Linked DNA regions of Arabidopsis thaliana. The protein of the gene in region 1 interacts with the protein of each later gene in a pairwise test. Each region holds a gene or a part of one and is shown in the gene's direction. Other genes may lie near its edges.

Region 1 (4,839 bases):
AATCTCTTCTCTAAGAAAGTACCTAAACATTAACTGGGGAATAATGTGTTCGTTCTCCCATAGTCTTTGGAAAAAAAGGGTAACCTATTCTCGTACTTTGTTGTCTAGTGTAAACTCTAGTTAAAGCTGTCACATTTGAACCTGAATTAGTAATATTAAGGAAAAGGAACTCAATGGTTTGTGTGTTGTTATATATTGGATTCAAGCTTTGATTCATTGAATGGAATTTTAGTGTTTGGTTTACGACCTCTGTTAGTTAATAATCATAGACACCATTTCCTTCTTTAGATGGGTTAGTTTGGTTCTAATCAGGGAAAGCCATTAATTTTTCCATCTAATCATTGTAGAAACCTTGCAATATTGTGTATATGTAAACATACACAATCGTAAATGTTTGGATATCAAACTCTTCACAAGTGTTTGTAGGAGAGGAAGTATAGGTGAGAAAAGATTAGGGTCAGTCACAGATTCTGCAAAAAGTAAGAGAACCATGAAAGTAAAATAAAACATAAACCCAGAAATAGAAACCATTCCCTTCAATTAAGCAAATGAGTTCTCTTTCCTTTTCTCTTCTTATGTGTATATATAGAAATGAATAGCTTAAATTTTCCCACAAAAGCCAAAGAGACCCAAATTATTGTTTTATTTTGTTTTTGTTACCTCGCTTATATCTATTATCATGGAAAACATAAGTGGGTTGGCTTTTGATATGGGAGAGCTAAGAAACAACCTTCCCAAAAAGTAAAATCCTGAAAAAGGATTTCATTGATTATGATTGTTTGTTTAAGTTATGGAAATCCGGATTACTATCTAATTTTGGATTTTGTGAATGGTTGTAAAATAGGAGAGGATTATCAAGGTACTATTCAGGAAAAGCGAGATCATTCATATGTATCTCAGATGTAAAATGCCTTGAGGATCTGAAGAAACCAACCCAAACTTTTGATGACGATGATGATGATGAGGCTTACAAGAAGAGGAAGAAGAAGAACAAGCAATCATCTTCATCTTCATTTTCTGCAGCTATTAACAGCAATGTGAATTTCTCAAACTACCCTTGTCGAAGGGTCTCTAGTAGCACCCACTGTTCCTCACCTTGTGTTGCTTAGGAAAAAAGAAGCTTACACTTTCTCAATTTATTTAGTAGCTCCTTTGGTTTTTATTCTCAACCCAACACTGAAAACACAAACTTCAGTTCAGTGTGTGGGGGCGTCATTCATATCCAATTTTTGATTTTCTTTACTGTTTTTATGTCTTTTTTTTGTGGTTATCTTTTTTTCTTGCGCAAATTATGTAGATTTGGATGTGTTTGTTCCAATTTGCTTATTGGGACAAAAATGTTGGAAATCCTTTCGAATGTAATCATACGTACGCATAGAATTGAATAATAAGTGAATAAATATAGAATTGAAAGGTTCTTAAAATATTCCTTAGCATTTCCTATTTATCTGAAAACATGCAACACACAAAGACAAAGTCAGGACAAGTCATAATGAGTAATTGCTTACGTGGCTAATTTTACATGATTCACGACAAAAGGGAGCGGCCTAGAGGCGCGTATCACACACGCGCTTCCACTTAAAAGCTGACGTGGTCAATTGGCTATCTGACATTCTATTTACCCATTTTCTCCCTTTCTTTCCTCTATATTCACGATCCTGCCATTGTACACCCAATCATACGCTCCTGAGATCCTCATGACTTGTTCTTACCGTACTCCGCGAGACATGCGATTGATGATTCTTGACTGTATTCATTGAGAAAAACTGTTCGCAAAAACCTTGAGCTTCATCATCGTCCATTACTCACCTTTCAGTTTCAGATGCCCAAGCAAAAAGCTCCAAGGAAGCAGCTCAAGTCCTATAAACTCAAACACATCAACAAGAGTATTCAAGGTACGTCTGACTTGTTCATCCTCAATTTGAAATTCGTGGATATTGAAAGTGAATCGTTCGATGTTGTTTTGTGGTTAAAAAGAGGGAGATGCTGTGTTGATGCGGTCGTCGGAGCCTGGAAAACCGTCGTACGTAGCGAGGGTAGAGGCGATCGAGACGGACGCGCGTGGATCGCACGCGAAAGTTCGTGTGAGGTGGTATTATCGCCCTGAGGAATCTATCGGAGGGAGGAGACAATTCCATGGAGCCAAGGAGGTTTTTCTCTCTGACCACTTCGATTTTCAAAGCGCCGATACGATTGAAGGAAAGTGTAAGGTTCACAGTTTCAGTAGCTACACCAAACTTGACTCTGTTGGAAACGACGACTTCTTCTGTCGTTTCGAGTACAATTCCACTACCGGCGCGTTTGATCCTGACAGAGTCACCGTGTATGTGTTCCTACGACTCTCTGTTACTTTATTCGAGAAGAAAATACTGATTGAATGATGGAACTATTATCGGTTGAATTGAGGCTTTTTTGGAAATTAGATTGTGTTGCTTTAGTGTAGGCATTGATTGTTAATAATTCATTGATTTGTCATCTAAATTGGTTTCATGAAGTTGTTTTTGCAAAGAGAAGTAATCAATTGAGTTTAAATTGATTTTTTCTGTTTGCAGGTTCTGCAAGTGTGAGATGCCGTATAACCCAGATGACTTGATGGTGCAATGCGAGGAGTGTTCTGAGTGGTAAGTGTTCACTTATTTGAAACTCTGTTTTAATCTTCTTGAGTCACAATCTGGAATTGCTCGTATGTTTTTCGTGTATCCATGAGGTCCTAGTTGATATGCTATTGAGGTTGCTTGAGATGAATGCTTTTGTCATGCTTTACTTCGGTGATGCTCTTCCTTACTCATGTTCATGTTTTGTCTTATCTGATATTGTGGAAACTGCAGATGAATAGGAACATAAGCTGATACTCTAGTCTGAACGTTTGTAATATCTGTGATTAACATTCTAATGTATATGTTGCGGATTTTCAAATTTTCTTACACGTTACTGATTGAGTCGCTGTTAAGGTTTGGGTTTTTCTGCAGCTTCTTAGTTTGTGCCTTGGGTCTTTCACCCATGTTAGCTTGCTATATGACACAAGTAACGTAAATGAAGTCATACTGAAACAAATAGTGATCGTTTGATCTTGGAAGTTGGAACTGTTAAGTGTTAAGCTTAATCTTTTTACTTTTTTTTTTGTAAAGAGAGGATTAAGGTTTTTTGTTTCGAATGTCTTTGTCAGTTGCCTTTGATGTTACAGCAAACTAACATTGGCTCAGGTTTCATCCTTCTTGTATAGGAACAACAATAGAGGAAGCTAAAAAGCCAGATAACTTCTACTGCGAAGAGTGTTCCCCACAACAGCAGAATTTGCACAACTCTAATTCAACTTCCAATAACAGAGATGCTAAGGTATTTCTCTATTTCTCATTTCAGAAAATATCTTTAGTTTTTGAGGGATGGTCAAACCCGTTGCAAATAGGCTTGAATAAATTTAAGGTATTTAAGTTGACCGTTCGTTCCACATATAAAGCTAGCCTTGCCAACAATTGTAAGCTCTTGGACTGATAAAATATACCAACTTAAGGCAGAATAAACACATAAACCCAAAGTATATGTGTCATTAAGGTCAAAGACAACCTTGTGAAATGTTTTGTCCTAACTAACAGGTGAATGGAAAGCGCAGCCTGGAGGTAACTAAATCGAAGAACAAACACACTAAGCGACCAGGTTAACATAAACTTGTAAAGGCTATAGATATCTGGTTGGTGAGTCTGAGTATCAATCGTGTAATCTACAAAGGTGGTTTTGTTTTCTTTCCCTCTCTAGTTTTTTCTTTCTTAAAAAATGAGGGTTTAGGTTTGTTGGCTTGATTGTTGTATAATTTATATGTATAGCGTATGGTGGTTTCTCATCTCCTTTAGTTGTCACATATAAAATTTGGGTAAAATGGTTTGTTTATAATAAGAAAACAAAACAAACAAACAAACAAAGAGAGTGTTGGTTCCTTATTTGTTTGTTTTCATTGTGAACTCTAGAAACCCTTCATTCTTTATTAGTTTTTCATTCTTTATTAATTCTAAAACGCATATTCAAAGAGACATATTTGATCATCGTGTCTTCATAATTTGGTTCAAAGTACAGCCAAAAACCAGGAGGTACACTAAAAATCAATAAAATTACATTACAAATTATTTTTAGTACACTGGGAACATAAATAAATGAATCAGAGAAGAGAAACATGGCAACTACCGATCATGAGCTTCTACATTTGTCTCAGAAAAAGAGGAAGATAGAACTATTTTTTAAAGTTTTTAGAAAAGAGAGAATTAATATTATCCAAGACAACACGGCACTGCTAACAACAAGTTGAACCTATCCCATTCCATTACTCCATACCCATTCAATGATTAACACGTGGTTCTACATCATTGGTTAACTCTCTCCTTTCCCCTTGGATAAGGCATCTTAAAATAATAATAAATACCATAAATATCTTCCGATTTTTTCTCCGACTATAATAATGATGACAACAATATCTTTTAAAATTATCTTAAAAGAAACCGAAAGCTAATCTCCAAAGGGAAAAAGACGTGTAGCAGAGACCTATACATACACCTATACATTCACGTTGCGTGTGATAATCTACTGAGGGTTCTATCTATATTAATCCTTCTCTGCTTCCTTCAATCTAATTGCAAATCAAATGGATCGTCTTAAGCTTTATTTCTCCGTTTTCGTTTTGTCTTTCTTTATCGTCTCGGTTTCGTCGTCTGATGTCAACGACGGCGATGATCTCGTGATCCGTCAGGTGGTTGGTGGAGCCGAGCCTCAGGTTTTGACCTCAGAGGATCACTTTTCTCTCTTCAAGCGGAAGTTCGGGAAGGTCTACGCTTCCAACGAGGAGCATGACTA
Region 2 (4,629 bases), on another chromosome or scaffold:
TTCTATCTATCTACATTTTTGGGAAAAGAAAGCTTTTAGTATGTGAATAGGAATGTATTTCGGCATTTGGCTCCTAAAAGTTATTACATGCTGCAGTGATGTGGGAAACCTTTTCTATGGGTAGCGTATGAGATGTTAGAAGAGGTTTAAGGCTTGTTTGTAAATCCCTAAAATGTTTTCACTTGCAGTCTCCAAGTATCAGAGCCAAGACATGAAAAGAACAATCATAAGACTTGAGCAGGCTGCTCATTCATATATGCAAAGAGCCATTGCTTCCCGTGGTGCATTCGCTGTTTTATATGGCAGATATTCAAAACACTATATCAAGAAGCCTGAGGTAATATTATCTTATTCGTTTAATATTCCTTGTATGATTTGATAAGCTTCTTAAGAATTATAGTAGCACTTGTTGATATCGGGGTTCTTTTTTCTTAACATAGGTTTTGGTGGGTAGATCAACAGAAGACCTCGCTGTGGACATTGATTTGGGAAGAGAAAAGCGGGGTAGCAAAATATCTCGACGACAGGTCGGTCAATAGTAGATACTTCTATTTGTATTTTAGGTCTTTAAGTTGTATGAGAAGCAGCAGCCCAGGATCTGTAATGGTTGTTGTGTATGTTTTTTTCCTTTTTGGGTTACTGAATGCAGGCGATCATACGGCTGGGTGATGACGGTTCGTTTCATATAAAAAACCTGGGGAAGTATTCAATCTCAGTAAATGAGAAGGAAGTAGATCCTGGACAGAGTTTAATCCTCAAATCCGATTGTCTAGTTGAGGTTTGATCCGGGATACTCTTTTATGATCATTACTTACGCTTCTAGGTCCGTACTTAAACCCGATATATGTGCGCGCAGATACGGGGAATGCCTTTTATATTTGAAACAAACCAAAGTTGCATGCAAGAGTACCTGAAGAGAAGAGGGAAAGTGAACTGAGACCAGATCAAGAGTGCGTGTTGTTTGTGTAGATGAATGATGCATCTCTTGTGTAATGTACCTTAGCCATAGGAACACGTCTTGTAGATCTTTTAATACATCTTTAGTTCCGCATCATGCATAGTTGACCCTGTTTTAAGGCGTTGAAATGAAAATACAAGTCTCTTGTATCTGAATTTGTGTTTTAAGCGAAGAATGATTGTTCTTGTGAAGTTGATACACAAGTTCTTTGGATATCCTATCAGTATAAAGGATAGGTTTCCATTTTCGTGACTCACTCACTGATTTCCATTGCTTGAAAATTGATGATGAACTAAGATCAATCCATGTTAGTTTCAAAACAACAGTAACTGTGGCCAACTTAGTTTTGAAACAACACTAACTGGTCGAAGCAAAAAGAAAAAAGAGTTTCATCATATATCTGATTTGATGGACTGTTTGGAGTTAGGACCAAACATTATCTACAAACAAAGACTTTTCTCCTAACTTGTGATTCCTTCTTAAACCCTAGGGGTAATATTCTATTTTCCAAGGATCTTTAGTTAAAGGCAAATCCGGGAAATTATTGTAATCATTTGGGGAAACATATAAAAGATTTGAGTTAGATGGAAGTGACGATTAATCCAAACATATATATCTCTTTCTTCTTATTTCCCAAATTAACAGACAAAAGTAGAATATTGGCTTTTAACACCAATATAAAAACTTGTTCACACCTAAACACTTTTGTTTACTTTAGGGTAAGTGTAAAAAGCCAACCAAATCCACCTGCACTGATTTGACGTTTACAAACGCCGTTAAGTTTGTCACCGTCTAAACAAAAACAAAGTAGAAGCTAACGGAGCTCCGTTAATAAATTGACGAAAAGCAAACCAAGTTTTTAGCTTTGGTCCCCCTCTTTTACCAAGTGACAATTGATTTAAGCAGTGTCTTGTAATTATACAACCATCGATGTCCGTTGATTTAAACAGTGTCTTGTAATTAAAAAAATCAGTTTACATAAATGGAAAATTTATCACTTAGTTTTCATCAACTTCTGAACTTACCTTTCATGGATTAGGCAATACTTTCCATTTTTAGTAACTCAAGTGGACCCTTTACTTCTTCAACTCCATCTCTCTCTTTCTATTTCACTTCTTTCTTCTCATTATATCTCTTGTCCTCTCCACCAAATCTCTTCAACAAAAAGATTAAACAAAGAGAGAAGAATATGGCGAGAGGGAAGATCCAGATCAAGAGGATAGAGAACCAGACAAACAGACAAGTGACGTATTCAAAGAGAAGAAATGGTTTATTCAAGAAAGCACATGAGCTCACGGTTTTGTGTGATGCTAGGGTTTCGATTATCATGTTCTCTAGCTCCAACAAGCTTCATGAGTATATCAGCCCTAACACCACGTACACCATCTCTCTAAACACCACTCTTAAATTAAGCTAATTGAGTTGCTTTGTTTTCTTATAATTAACCACTACTTTTTTGGTGATTTTGTTGGTTATAGAACGAAGGAGATCGTAGATCTGTACCAAACTATTTCTGATGTCGATGTTTGGGCCACTCAATATGAGGTTTTTTTCCTTCTTAGATCTTTCTTCTTCTTCTTGATATGTGTTTCGCTGGTTGGTTAAATTCTTGATGCGTTTTGCTGCAGCGAATGCAAGAAACCAAGAGGAAACTGTTGGAGACAAATAGAAATCTCCGGACTCAGATCAAGTATTTGTTTCTCTCTCTTCTCTTAGATGAGGAGTTTTACTAAAAAAAATGAGTACGAAAATATACATATTTTTAAAATTGTAGGCAGAGGCTAGGTGAGTGTTTGGACGAGCTTGACATTCAGGAGCTGCGTCGTCTTGAGGATGAAATGGAAAACACTTTCAAACTCGTTCGCGAGCGCAAGGTTCTCTTCATACTTTTCCCTTACCTAGGGTTTCAATTAATCCTATATACCCAAGCTTCAGTTTTGAATTGAATTATTAAAAAATGAATTTTATTGTTGTATATATGTTTTAGAAAAAGAAACATTTTGTTTACTGTTGGATAATATATGTTAATTGTATTGTACTGTACAGTTCAAATCTCTTGGGAATCAGATCGAGACCACCAAGAAAAAGGTCACATCTTCTATGTCCACTCACTTTTCCATTTTATCATATTTATTTGTCTCAACAATTTTGTGTCAATTGAATTTATCAACTTACTAAAACTGTTGATAACACTTTTCTTGGACAATTATATTTGTGTGTGTGTGTGTGTGTTTAAGCTAATGGATAAAGAAAATACCAAGTATACTATATAGTGATGTCATAATAACTTGGGTATATATCTTCATAATTTTTTTGGGAGGGAATATTTCTTCATCATTTCTCTTGTGGTTTACACAATTGCAGAACAAAAGTCAACAAGACATACAAAAGAATCTCATACATGAGCTGGTAATATCTCTTTCTGTTTTTCTCAAATGTTGGTTTAGGCATAATACATTCATGGAATACGGAGCCAGTTAAAAAGATATCTAGAAATGTAGTGTAGATTGATCAGTCACTCTTATGTTTTCTTGTGATTCTCTTATCGAAATATCTCCTAGTTAAATCATATATCAAATGTCATGTCATTTCGAATTAATAATATTGGTTTTAGTTATGTGGAATATGGCTTAAAACATGTTTTGGTGAATTAGGAACTAAGAGCTGAAGATCCTCACTATGGACTAGTAGACAATGGAGGAGATTACGACTCAGTTCTTGGATACCAAATCGAAGGGTCACGTGCTTACGCTCTTCGTTTCCACCAGAACCATCACCACTATTACCCCAACCATGGCCTTCATGCACCCTCTGCCTCTGACATCATTACCTTCCATCTTCTTGAATAATTAAAGGCTAAAAGGTTTGCTGGTGCCATCATTGTCTATCTAATTATTTAGTAACTACTTAAAACATAAGGCATGGTGTTGCTAAAACCTTAAACTGTCATGTTTCTTAGTTATGTATTTTAAAGCCTAAAGAAATATGGATTGTGTGATCAGTAGTGCTTAGGCTTATTGTGTGTGGAATGTTTTCAAGACTTTTATCATGTATCGTATTATTATATTGACCACTCTACTTAATTATGCTACAAATTTACTCGATTTGATTTTCTACTTGAATGCATATATATTGTCTGATGAAATACAAATTGAAGTTGTTTCCACAAAACGAATAGACTACCAATCATACTATTGATTTACAAAACTAAAAAGTAAAGACAAATTTTTATACAAGATGTATTCCGAGCCAAATGCAACAACTTTTCGGGTTGTTATGTGTAACCCGAAAACAAAGATATTCAAATATTCACCCTAATGAAGACGTTCACGGTTACCAATATTGATCACAAGTTTGGATGGTAAGGCTCTTTTACTAAACTATCTAGCAAACCAAAAATCATCGCAATCAGAATTATGAATTAAGAGTTAGGAATAAACTTTTGCCTATATAACCTTCCTAGAAACTTCATAGTCCGGTCAATAATAAGACAGGGGAACTTGAAGAGGTCTAGCCTTTGAAGCCTTCTCTTAGTTCAAGATTCCTTGAAGCTCTTCCTTATTGCACATATGCCAGAGAAATTCATAGACATCTTAGCCTCCTTTGTGTTTTACGGTTCATTTAGTTTTTATTTCTTATCTGAACTTGGAGCATTAGAAAAGGGGCAAAGA
Region 3 (3,985 bases), 8.2 Mb from region 1:
TCTTTTTGGTTAACCAAGGTTTACTAATCCGATATACAAGAATGACATGCAAATAAACATAGGGTTAAGTTGTAAAGTAGTCAGATATTTAAACTTAATTATGGAATTGGGCAAATTACTATTTATAATTGGATTTTTAGTCACTAACCTTTGACCCTATTACAGACAAAATCAAATATACCCCATACCAACTCTATTATTTACAAATATGCCACTAATCTTCTTCTTCTCCAATGTCGTTGAAAGCAATTGGGATTTGTGCTTTTAGATTCAACATTTCTCTCTCCTCATACTCACATTCTTTGTATTTCTTTATATATATATATATATATATATATATATATATATATATATATATATATATTTATTTATTTTTTAATAACCTCTTCAATCTAATAATTGAAATGCTTATCAATGTAAATTTATTTTCTAAATTAATTCAGATACATAAAAATCTATATTTTTTCTCTATAATTTGATATGCATTTTGTTAATAATTTTAAATATATTATATAAACATTTTTATTAGTAGTCAGTACAGTTAATTATGTGTACAGATTTTTATTTATACAACTTATTTAATAAGTACAAATTGAAATCGTCCAGCCATAATTGGAAAAATAGTCATTTTACTATTCACAATTTGCAAAGTAGTCACTTTTAACTGTTTGATTCGTACACTTAGATCTGTACAACATTTTTTAGTGTACAGATGTAAGTGTACGTTGTGTATATTTATATATATATATATACACTAAAAATATTGTACAGGTCTAAGTGTACGAATCAACAGTGAAAAGTGACTACTGATAATTGTATACTCCATACAATTATATACTCTGTACAGCTAATGCAACGTACAAAATAAAGTCTGTACACATAATTAAGTGTACCGACTACTGATAAAATGTCTGTAATATATTAAAAATATTAACAAAATGCATATCAAATTATAAAGAAAAATACATAGATTTTTATGTATATGAATTAGTTTAGAAAATAAATTTATATTGATAAGTATTTCAATTATTAAATTGGAGGGGTTATTAAAAAGAAATAAAAAAAAAAAGAATATTTCACTTTTATCTTTCTTCTCTGTCAAAAGGATAGTTCGGTAATTTCAAAACACATCACTTACCCCACCCCAAACTTCTATTTCACGCTCGTCTATTACACGCCCAAAGTGAGTTACATGTTTTGTCAAGTGTAAATAGTAACTTGCCCAACTCCATAATTATGTTTTCAAAAGTGACTAATTTGCCAACACACCTATAAACATATCGTTTTACAAAACGAAACGACGTCTTATGAAATTAAAAAATAGAAAAATAAGTTTTGATTAATTATAGGTGATAGTATTATTGAATCATTGATGTGTGAAGTGTGAACAAGTCTAACTTTAGAGACCAGGTAGGTCCACTTTCTTTTTGAATTTTGGGAACTCTTAAGACAAGCAATGTCTTTATCCGCTTTCGGTGTGTCGAGTTATTTTTTCTTCTGAATATTAACGGCACTGACTATTATAATACTGTTTGTTTATTCTACAGAAAAATTCATCAACATATTTTAAGCTATGATTAAATTTGCCTCACAAAGTTTCGCAACCTTTGTGCTATAAATATCATTCACCCCACAACCATTCAACACTCTACCAACCTTCTCTTCTTCTCTCCGATCTTAATCACTCTCCTAATCAATACTCACTAATAACTTTTTTTTTTTTTTGGTCTTGTATAGCTAATAAGTCAGAGAACCCTTTTCCTCAGTCAGACTCTTTGACCCGCAGCAATTAGCTCTTCCACCAACTGCTCTTCGTTATTTCTGAATTGTACCTTAAGTTTGTTTCTATTTTTTTTCTTAGGTGTTAGATATATTTTTAAAAAGAGAATTTTGGATAATTCGTTTTTTTTTTTGTAAACATACAATCTCTTTCAGACAATGATATTGTCACAAAAAGGATGCAATCAAAGTGAGTTGCAACTTATTTTCAAAAACAAATTGAATGTCGAAAAAAGTTTATATTTTTAGATTTTCCAAATAGTCAATAGATATTTAGTTAAATATTAGCTTTCGACAACTCTCTTGTGTCGCAAGCTACAAGTGTGAATTTTGCAAATGGGGAGTTCATGTTTGCCTCCAGGATTTAGATTTCATCCAACTGATGAAGAGCTCATAGGCTACTACTTGAGTAGAAAAATAGAAGGTCTCGAGATTGAGCTTGAAGTCATTCCTGTTATCGACTTATACAAATTTGATCCTTGGGAGTTGCCAGGTAATTTGAAAAGGAAAACAATTAGATTTTTATCCATAAATTTATATTTAAATAAAACTAAATTTGTTTGATTTTATCTTTGAATTTTAGGTAAATCTTTCCTTCCAAATAGAGATTTGGAATGGTTCTTTTTCTGTCCAAGAGACAAAAAATATGCAAACGGTTCTCGAACCAATAGGGCTACAAAAGCGGGTTATTGGAAAGCAACTGGTAAAGACCGGAAAATCACTTGTAAATCATCGCATGTTATAGCTGGATACCGAAAAACCTTAGTTTTCTATGAAGGTCGTGCCCCATTAGGCGACAGAACTAATTGGTTTATGCATGAATATCGTCTATGCGATATTGATGATCATTCACAAAAATCACCAAATTTCAAGGTAAGAAAATTAGAGTTCGTTTCATTTGATCCAACTTCATAATATTCATTTTTATGAACTAATGGAACGAAGCCTAAAAACCATATATATGTTTGAATTTTAGGGAGCTTTTGCGTTATGTCGCGTAGTTAAGAAGAATGAACTGAAGAAAAATTCGAAAAGTTTGAAAAATAAAAACGAACAAGACATTGGTTCTTGTTACTCTAGCCTCGCGACCTCTCCTTGTCGCGATGAAGCGTCGCAGATTCAATCGTTCAAGCCTTCTTCTACTACAAACGACTCTTCAAGCATTTGGATTTCTCCTGATTTCATCCTTGATTCGTCAAAGGTACCTACATCTATTATCTAAACCAAAATAGTTTTTGTATAGACAGTAGTGGTCTGATATGTGTTTTTGGTTTTGTGATTTTAAATATAGGATTATCCTCAGATTAAGGAGGTTGCTTCTGAGTGCTTTCCCAACTACCATTTTCCGGTCACCACGGCAAACCACCACGTGGAATTTCCGGTGAGCTCTTGTTATTTCAATGTGGACCAGGACATTGATCAGTCGATGCAAACCGGTTATTGGACAAATTATGAAAATGACCAAACCGGTTCATTTGACTACTCAAACCTTTTTTAGCTACAAGAAATGTTGGTTCGTTCTTAGGACAAAAACGCCTTTTAACGTTGGTGTCTTGGAACTTGGAAGAAGAAGAAGAACTAGTTGTGAACGTCTATCATTTTCTTTTGAGAATTTAATTATCTTACTCTTGGTTTTTATTTTAGTTTTATATATATTGTTTGCTAATATAAGGAATGAGTATAATAAATTCCTTATTTAAAGTTTTTTCGTATGAAGATTTACGTTATTATAGAGTCTTATTTTAATGTTCCGATACCTTTGATATGATATATGCAAAGAGAATCAATCATGTTCTTCTCAATCATTAATTGGACCAAACTTATATTATATAAAGCAACTTATGTAGAAGTCATAACAATCATTTGCATTAAAAATCCAATATTTTGTCTATAAAAGCAATAGTTTCGGGACCATTTTGACATTTCAAAAGTTTATGTAAACAAAATTCCATAAATATGCAGAGATTAAAATCAAAAACTATGTGACGCAGCAATTTGTTTACAGATGTATGAAAATCCCAAAAGCTTGCATTTCTCAATTGTTAGAGACCTTTCAAACAAAATTCTTTTTTCCATGAGCTTTCTACATTTCATTCTTTTAAAATTTATAAGAATATTTCTTCCTCTTGAAAATGATCTACGAAATACTTTTGATATATAGTCTATATGATTTACAAAATGTGAACAATATCAAATTGGGTCCATA

What was found. The genes of interacting proteins can lie anywhere in the genome.
Region 2: the proteins of SHL1 (region 1) and AP3 interact in a two-hybrid assay, tested with the Arabidopsis thaliana proteins (one large-scale study listed by BioGRID).
Region 3: the proteins of SHL1 (region 1) and NAC071 interact in a two-hybrid assay, tested with the Arabidopsis thaliana proteins (one large-scale study listed by BioGRID).

Annotation. Positions count from the first base shown.
Region 1 is NC_003075.7:18,217,118-18,221,956, reverse strand, and holds SHL1 (PHD finger family protein / bromo-adjacent homology (BAH) domain-containing protein), read left to right. Parts: upstream 1-1,632; 5' UTR 1,633-1,822; coding exon 1,823-1,895; intron 1,896-1,977; coding exon 1,978-2,323; intron 2,324-2,552; coding exon 2,553-2,621; intron 2,622-3,203; coding exon 3,204-3,336; intron 3,337-3,593; coding exon 3,594-3,659; 3' UTR 3,660-4,328; downstream 4,329-4,839. Other genes in the region: RD19 (Papain family cysteine protease), read left to right, coding at 4,631-4,839. UniProt on the Arabidopsis thaliana protein: Chromatin remodeling factor that binds to methylated histone (e.g. H3K4me2/3) to prevent their acetylation (e.g. H3K9K14Ac), likely by recruiting histone deacetylase (HDAC) complexes, and thus regulate the transcription of target genes.
Region 2 is NC_003074.8:20,118,606-20,123,234, reverse strand, and holds AP3 (K-box region and MADS-box transcription factor family protein), read left to right. Parts: upstream 1-1,920; 5' UTR 1,921-2,147; coding exon 2,148-2,335; intron 2,336-2,436; coding exon 2,437-2,503; intron 2,504-2,586; coding exon 2,587-2,648; intron 2,649-2,732; coding exon 2,733-2,832; intron 2,833-3,004; coding exon 3,005-3,046; intron 3,047-3,322; coding exon 3,323-3,367; intron 3,368-3,612; coding exon 3,613-3,807; 3' UTR 3,808-4,095; downstream 4,096-4,629. Other genes in the region: emb1967 (Forkhead-associated (FHA) domain-containing protein), read left to right, coding at 189-337, 441-527, 650-778, 857-937. UniProt on the Arabidopsis thaliana protein: Probable transcription factor involved in the genetic control of flower development. Is required for normal development of petals and stamens in the wild-type flower.
Region 3 is NC_003075.7:9,978,169-9,982,153, reverse strand, and holds NAC071 (NAC domain containing protein 71), read left to right. Parts: upstream 1-1,598; 5' UTR 1,599-2,115; coding exon 2,116-2,272; intron 2,273-2,362; coding exon 2,363-2,652; intron 2,653-2,755; coding exon 2,756-2,980; intron 2,981-3,070; coding exon 3,071-3,277; coding exon of another isoform or gene 3,278-3,304; 3' UTR 3,305-3,451; downstream 3,452-3,985. UniProt on the Arabidopsis thaliana protein: Transcription factor involved in tissue reunion of wounded inflorescence stems. Required for the division of pith cells in the reunion process, which is dependent on polar-transported auxin and the wound-inducible hormones ethylene and jasmonate.